2 linked regions of the Xenopus tropicalis genome follow. Each later gene encodes a partner of the first gene's protein in a complex. Links are inferred from orthologs where the notes say so. Each region holds a gene or a part of one and is shown in the gene's direction. Other genes may lie near its edges.

What was found. The genes of interacting proteins can lie anywhere in the genome.
Region 2: the proteins of cd40 (region 1) and cd40lg are in contact, whole or in part, in a crystal structure (PDB 3QD6), measured with the Homo sapiens proteins. The link is inferred for Xenopus tropicalis from reciprocal best matches to the Homo sapiens genes CD40 and CD40LG. Residues at the interface, in NP_001241.1 of Homo sapiens: Glu64, Ser65, Glu66, His76, Cys77, Gln79, Tyr82, Asp84, Asn86, Leu87, Trp109, Cys119; in NP_000065.1 of Homo sapiens: Ile127, Glu129, Ala130, Lys143, Gly144, Tyr145, Tyr146, Cys178, Pro217, Cys218, Gln220, Ser245, Gln246, Ser248, His249, Gly250, Thr251, Gly252.

The regions. Positions count from the first base shown.
Region 1 is NC_030686.2:20,127,546-20,131,303, forward strand, and holds the start of cd40 (tumor necrosis factor receptor superfamily member 5 precursor), read left to right. Parts: upstream 1-1,470; coding exon 1,471-1,521; intron 1,522-3,758.
Region 2 is NC_030684.2:69,119,107-69,122,764, forward strand, and holds part of cd40lg (CD40 ligand), read left to right. Parts: intron 1-440; coding exon 441-486; intron 487-3,250; coding exon 3,251-3,304; intron 3,305-3,658. UniProt on the Homo sapiens protein: Cytokine that acts as a ligand to CD40/TNFRSF5. Costimulates T-cell proliferation and cytokine production.

The DNA.
Region 1 (3,758 bases):
AACCACCAGAGCAAGCTCCACTGGAGTGCCAGTGGTTCTATTTATACTGTCTGTTCAGGTGAACTAATCAAACCCCACCTACCTCAAACCGAGGGTAATAAAGGAATGCAACTTCTGGCAAACCTGCTGTAAGCCTTATAGTTCACCAAACTTTGTAATTTAGCACCAAAAACAGCAAATACTTTTGAAAGAAATAAACACAACAGTTAAACAACACAATGATTTTGAATAAAGTTAAGAAAATATACTTATCCCTTTTTTTTTTTTAATTGATAAGCAAGTTGTTTCAACAAGCCTGTTAGTAACCCTATGTTCCACCCCTCATAAATACAGTGCTACCAAACTCAGAACTGTATATATAGGGGCAGATACAGGCCTCTGTTATCCTTTTTGGATTACAAAGACCTGCAGAAATAAAGTTAGTGTGCAGAGCGGGTTGCAGAATGCAAAAAATACGTCAGATTGCATTCTTTTTTGCATTTTGCATCCTACCTTACACATAGTTATTGCATAGCTCCCAGCTGTCCCGATTTTCGCGGGACATTTCTGATTTTAACAGCCCACAGTCCCGGATTCTTACTGAAAAGTCCCTCATTTCACTTTGATCTCCTGCACTGAATGCTAAAAAAGATACAACGTTTCTCAAACTTAAATAAGTAGCTTTTGGAAGAGAGCCCAGAAAGATTAACAAGCAACACCTGTACTTAGATACAATTGTAACTAATAAGCTAAATAGGTCTCTTGGGGGAACTGAGACTTACAGATTAAAGGGCAATGTAATAACACATTAAACAAGACCCTAAAACCTTTAAAAATGTGTTCAAACTTTAAATAACCTGCCAAATTTTGTAAAAATAGCATTGGCATTTAGGGGATGTGGTCACAAAAATGGGCATGGCCAAACATTTTTTGTCATGCTACGCCCTGCATTTCTTTTTGTCCCTCTTTAAATTTTTCAAATGTTGGGAGGAATGGAAAATGAACCCTAGTGATCCCTGCTTACAAAAGTAAAACAATAAATGATAAAAGTTCAGCGATAATTTCCTTTTGTGATACAGGCAGCTTCAAAATACTATATATTTTTTCATGAATTACTCCGTAGTTATCATTAGGCTTCATGCCGTATAACTAATCAAGAGTTAAATTACAGGCTCACCAGACAGGAACCCTCCACCCTCTCTGCTCAGAGTTCCTCCTGTGTAATTCCCCAGTTTCACTTTCACAAACTGGTTCTGTATTTCTGGAATACAGCAGAGGGCGGGTCTGACCGTACAGACTGGGACACTGCACATATAACTGCTTTTATATTTGATATTCTAAGGGCTTTCCTTTGATACTCCTAAAGAAGGCATCTGTTCTGCTGAGCTAGCACTCCAGGGACAATTGTTCTACGGACTAAAACAAACCCAAGGATTCGTAGCTGATATCATTTTGTAATTGCTGCCTTTGTATTGCAGTCTCTGCTGGAAAATGAGATTTCTGCTGCTTTTTCTGCTATTGCTTCTGAGCTGCAGCCACAAGGTAAGAGAAGATTGGAATACTAAAAACAAACCAAAATGAACTAAAATTGTTAGTCTCAGAAGTCAGAACAGTGTGTGTTTTTGTGAACTCTCTGTCAGTTATTCTCTTGCGCACAAAAGCAGAGTCACATCTTTCTACAGTCTGTGTTTTACTACTGTTTACTTTCACTTTGTACAAATAAGCATTATTAGTCTGGAATGGTGTTCCTACTACCACTATACGTTTTCCAGAACATAAGAGATAAAAAATGTGTAGGTTTTTATATTTGATAAATATGATCACTGTACATGGTGGTGGTTAGCTGAAACAGGAAAGTATTCTGCAGATCGCCCATGGGGAACAAAAAGATAGAATGGGGAACTATGAGAGTCTCTCTATAAACAGTTCCCTAAGACTACTAGCACACTAGCAAATATGGCATAAATACTGAAATCATCTGTGAAAAGTGCTGCTTCACAGAAAATACCATTAGTTTAAAGCATGCAGTGAAGGTATGTAAGCCTCTGGTTTTATATATCCTGAACACATACAGAGAGAAATAAAGCTCCCTTAATCGCCGATGGGATGGCATATGCGGCATATGCGCCGCGTATGATATCCCACCGGCGATTTACATTCTCGCCGGTGGGATGTCATATACAAGGGAGATTTGTTGTGGGCGACTAATCTCCCTGTGTGCCACAGCTCTAAAGGGTTTAATTTATCCTAAATGTAGTTTTAGTTTCAATCATTTTTATTGGGATTTTTTTAAACATTATAGCCAAATAAAGGCATTAAAACTAAATGTAGTTTTAAAGCTTCTGTAAACAGCAGTATTCTGAGACAATTAACAGATACACTTTTTATTTTATATCCTTATATGTTCTGCAGCTTTTAAGCTTGAAAATTTGATTGCTAGCTGTTTGCTAGGGATTAATTACAACAGCAACCAGGCAGCAACAGGAAATGAAAGATCAGTAAGCAAGGAACCAAACAGAAAGCTAAAGTAATAATAATAATAATAATAAAGTATAAGCCTTTTAGAGGGTCTGTTTTATGGTTGCCTGGGTTAGCAACAACCAGATAGCATTTGCAGTAGCAGACTGGAGAGAAACAAAATTGAAAAGCTAATAAAAATAAAGACTAATGTAAGTTTCATATATAAAATACAGCATTGGCCGGGCACATTCCCTTAAACAATATGTGGTTTATCTCAGAACTAATGAAGTTAATAGTAATGAAGAGGAAAGTGGTTAAAAAAATGAGGGGACAGACACTTATTTTAAAACAAGCAAAATTTAATCCTAAAAATATATTAAAAACAGTAGTAAAAAGAATGGTTTGGGTATGTGACTCCATAAAACACGGAAATAATTTGATTATAAGGGGTTGTGAAAAGAAAATGTGCCAATTTAGTTCTTTTCTTCAATGTATGCAACTGGGGAGTCAGATTTTCAGGACCCACTCTCTGGTGGCACAAATGAAGTGAGTGACCAATACACAATATGGTAAACACAGCATTTAGGCAGGTTTAATTCTGACAAACCTGCCTAAATTCCAGCATTTCTTTAAAGTGCTTTAATTATCTCTCTTTAAAGGACCAGCAACACAGAGTTTTTACAGTTTGCGGTCCTGGCATTGGACCTGGTTATTAAAAAAAACCCCCAATATGGGTTTCCCGAACTCTGCATGTGGTATGGGACTACATCTTTTACTTTTGTCATTCAGCCATTAGTTGTACCAGCTTTATAAATGAGGTAAGCCCCCTAACTATTGCTTTCCAGCAGTTATAGTGGTGAAAGCTTATTTCATATGTGTAAATAAAAACTCTGTTTGTAAAAAGAATTTTTTTTAAACACATTTAGCACTTATGGTTGTTTTTGGGTTGTATTTGAACACACAATTGCAAAATATCTAATACTTGTGTGTTAAATAAAGCCTAATGGCTAGAAATGTTGCTAATGTGGTGCCGTTATTTAAAAAGGGATCCCGTTCTCAGCCTGAAAACTATAGGCCTGTTAGTCTAACATCAGTAGTAGGAAAACCTTTGGAATGGGTAATAAGGGATAGGGTACTTGAATACATTGCAGTTCACAATACTATAAGTTTGTGCCATTATGGTTTTATGCGTAACAGATCTTGCCAGACTAATTTAGTCGCCTTTTATGAGGAGGTGAGTAGGAACCTCGATGCTGGAATGGCAGTTGATGTAATCTACTTGGACTTTGCTAAAGCATTTGATACTGTACCTCACAGAA
Region 2 (3,658 bases), on another chromosome or scaffold:
GAAAAATTATTCACAAAGAGGACAAATTGTTTGCACTGAGTATTTTTCCCCACCAGCGTGTTTACATCATACTGGGCATGATTATATATATATTTCTTCTCCTAGAAAACAAGTTATTCATTTTACTCTTCCTTACCTCCCATTCCGTATCCCTTGAGTTTAACTATATTGCACTGACCAGTGCTAGAAATGTTAAATTAACCTGAAGTACCAGGTGCATCAAAGTTGCTGACAGCAGTTGTTCAGTAAGAATGCTCCAAATTCCGTATTTGAATGAATAACTCTCCAGCCCAGATGTCAGCCCTTGTTTTTAGGAGACTTTACTAATATGGCCATCTAAATATATTATTGTGCAATAAACTGAAGGTTTCATTAGATGTATTTATAAAAGTGCCATTAGTCTATGACTGGTATTAACAACTACATATTCTTCATTTCAGATCATCAAAACAGACACGCCAGGAGAAAAACTCGAATATCTTAAAGGTAGAAAATGCTTGCCAAATAAAATGCAGATGACTATTATATGACTTTTGGATTATTATTATGAATTGGAGATGTAAGAATATGGTGATGTTGCTCACTGCATATTATCTTTTTACAAATTCAAATGTATAAATATATACATATATGCAAAATACACAAGAGCCATGAATATCCTGTAAATGATATTCTTATAAACAATGCTTGGTGAAGATATCCGTTATAATGAGTGCTAAGTGATGTCATTTCTGCCACAAGACTCACTGAAACTTGTGTATTATAATAAATAACGTACCCCCTGTTGTAAAATATGAGAATATTAGAAGTCACCTCAGAGTTGGGCTTGTGCTTTTATATGGTTACAGAACTCCTTGGTGGCTTATAATATTCTTATATTTTACAATACAGGGTACATTATATACTGTATTAAATAAACCCCTGAAGAAATGCTCTCTAGTGGGCTGAAACATTGGTTCTTAGTATAATGCACTATGACGCATGTGTGTGTAAATGTTGCCACAACATTGGTATCATCATGTTGGCAACATGATAACAAAAAAGTATATATTTTTGACTAAAATATATAGATTATATAGAGTGTTCATGCACTGATTTATAACATGGGAGCTAAAGTTCACATGTTAAGTTGCAGATAGTAGCCAGTCAGCAATTTGTTTTGAGCTGTACAGTACAAGTTACAGAATGAAAGGAAAGACCTGATTAGTAGGGATGTAGCGAACATCGCCAAAAATGTTCGCGGACCCGTTCGCGGACTTTCGGCAAAACTCGCGAATATTCGCGAACTTTGCGAACCCCATAGACTTCAATGGGAAGGCGAACTTTAAAACCTAGAAAAGCCATTTCTGGCCAGAAAACTGATTTTAAAGTTGTTTAAAGGGTGCCACGACCTGGACAGTGGCATGCAGGAGGGGGATCAAGCAAAAATTTCTCTGAAAAATACTTTGTAAAAAAAACGGCAAAAAAAAACGCCAAAAAATAATGCCAAAAAAAAAAACGCGGCGAACCCAAAATGGCGAACATCGCCGAAAGTTCGCGAATTTGCGGACTTGCGAACACCCGATGTTCGCGCAAATTAGTTCGCCGGCGAACAGTTCGCTACATCTCTACTGATTAGTTGCTACTGACAACACCAGTTGAATCCAACTGGGTTTCTGTTCATTGAATATGACTACTGTTATCCATTCCCATCAGTACTTGCCTAGTAAAGCTTGCAATCTAAGTTTCCTACACATTGCAGGCAATTTTTTCAAGACCTTATTAACTTGTCCATATACTTTTAGAGTGAATATAAAACCATAAACCCTTACAAACAGAAGGAAAACATTCAAACTCCTTGCCAATAATCTTGTCAATGTAATTGTACCCAGTACCTTAACTCTAACCACTGCACCACTATGCCCGCCAATCGCCCATCTTACCCTACTAACCAACATTATCAGTGCAATAGATACATTGTTTTTCTAAAAAAAAAAGTTCCCATTGTTAACATTCTTTCAATGTGCTTATCATATATTTTTATTTATTTTTTAATGAGGGTGCAACTAAAACTTGACTAAGTTGACAAAACACATGCTAAAACCACTCCTACTGATGGGTAATATAAAAATATTGTCGTATTGGTTTAATCTGAATAATGAGTTACAAACAATTTATCATTGCTTTCTAGACTAGTGAAATAATTAGAAGAGCAGAGGGTATGGTTGGGAAGGTTAGTCAGTTTAAGTAAATAGGACCCTGCGGAGGATGCCGGAAGCAGTAAAACACAACACTTTGATGTGGGGGCTATTAATAAAACATAACAAAGAGCTTATCACTATAAGGATCTGGCGGTTTAAACATTTCCCTAAAAGCAAATGTATCTTGAGTGACCACAGGCACGGTGGCTATGGTGGGAGAGTTAAATATAGCATATTTGGCTTCATGGTAGCATACTGGGTGAGTGCTGTACCACCCTTGTAAGAATTTGAGTCAGAAAGGAGTGTTTAAGACAGATATTATACCTGTGTAATTGGCAGGTCAAAGTGAGAGATGAATTTGAGAAATGAAAGCTTTGAATTTGCTTGTGGTGAGCAAGCTCCTGTGATGTGCCCCAAGCAGATACTCCAGCACATCATGGCTTGCAGGCTATTGCACACAGTTGATCATGTCATTTATTTTTATTTCCAATGCTCAGCCTAGACTTAGGGGCTGATTTACTAATCAAAAAAAATGCGACAATTCGCGCAAGTCGTAACGCTACGAAAAAGTTGTGACAATTTGCGAAAAAGTCGTAATGGCTACGAAAAAGTCGCAACAATTTACGAAAAAATCGCAAAATACCGATCATTACGAAAAAAACGCATTCGGACGCTTTTCGGACGTTCGTGTATTAGTAAATGTGCCCCTTAGTATAGCACGCTTTACATGTAAGTCCTGTAGATGAACATTGATTATTATTTTTTTTACTTTTTTGGACTGAATGGCTGCCTACCACTATTCTGCCATACCAAACACACCAGTTGTACCAGTGCAGTGCAACAGTGCATAATATTTTAGTTACTTTTTATTTTTTTGGTGTTACTGTTCCTTTAATACAATAGTTTGAAAAACTGAACAAAACAATCATATGTTCCATTTTCAGTTATAGGTACTTGATACAACTAACAACGTAATTATATTTATGTGGCTATTCAATGAGTAGACAAAGTGTTGTGACCTGAAATGTATTGATAAGTTATGTTAATAAATATAACTCTGTTTTACACAGATCCAAATGTTTCCACAGACAAGCCTAAAGATAACGACAACCTACCAAAACAAGGTATTATTCGTTATGTAAATGATTTAAATAAATAGACCTGATTCCTCTTGTGCTGGGCATGCCTTTTTCACATCTTTATTAAAGGTTACTAGAGAGAAAAGTAAGAGTGAATCAGCAAGTAATAATAAAGTTGTACAGTGTTTAAGTCAAAGTTTGGAAAAACAAAGAAAAGAGAGCGTTCTCTAACTGTTAGATATAAAGAATGCGGCCTTCTGAAGTTCATGACAGTTATTCATCAGGCATAAGATATTAAAGATGTTAGATCTGTGAAATCAGTTAGCCAGTAAATGCTACCACATTCCATGGAGAACAGTTATTAATAAAACAAGGTGATTGAATCCAATCATTTATTAG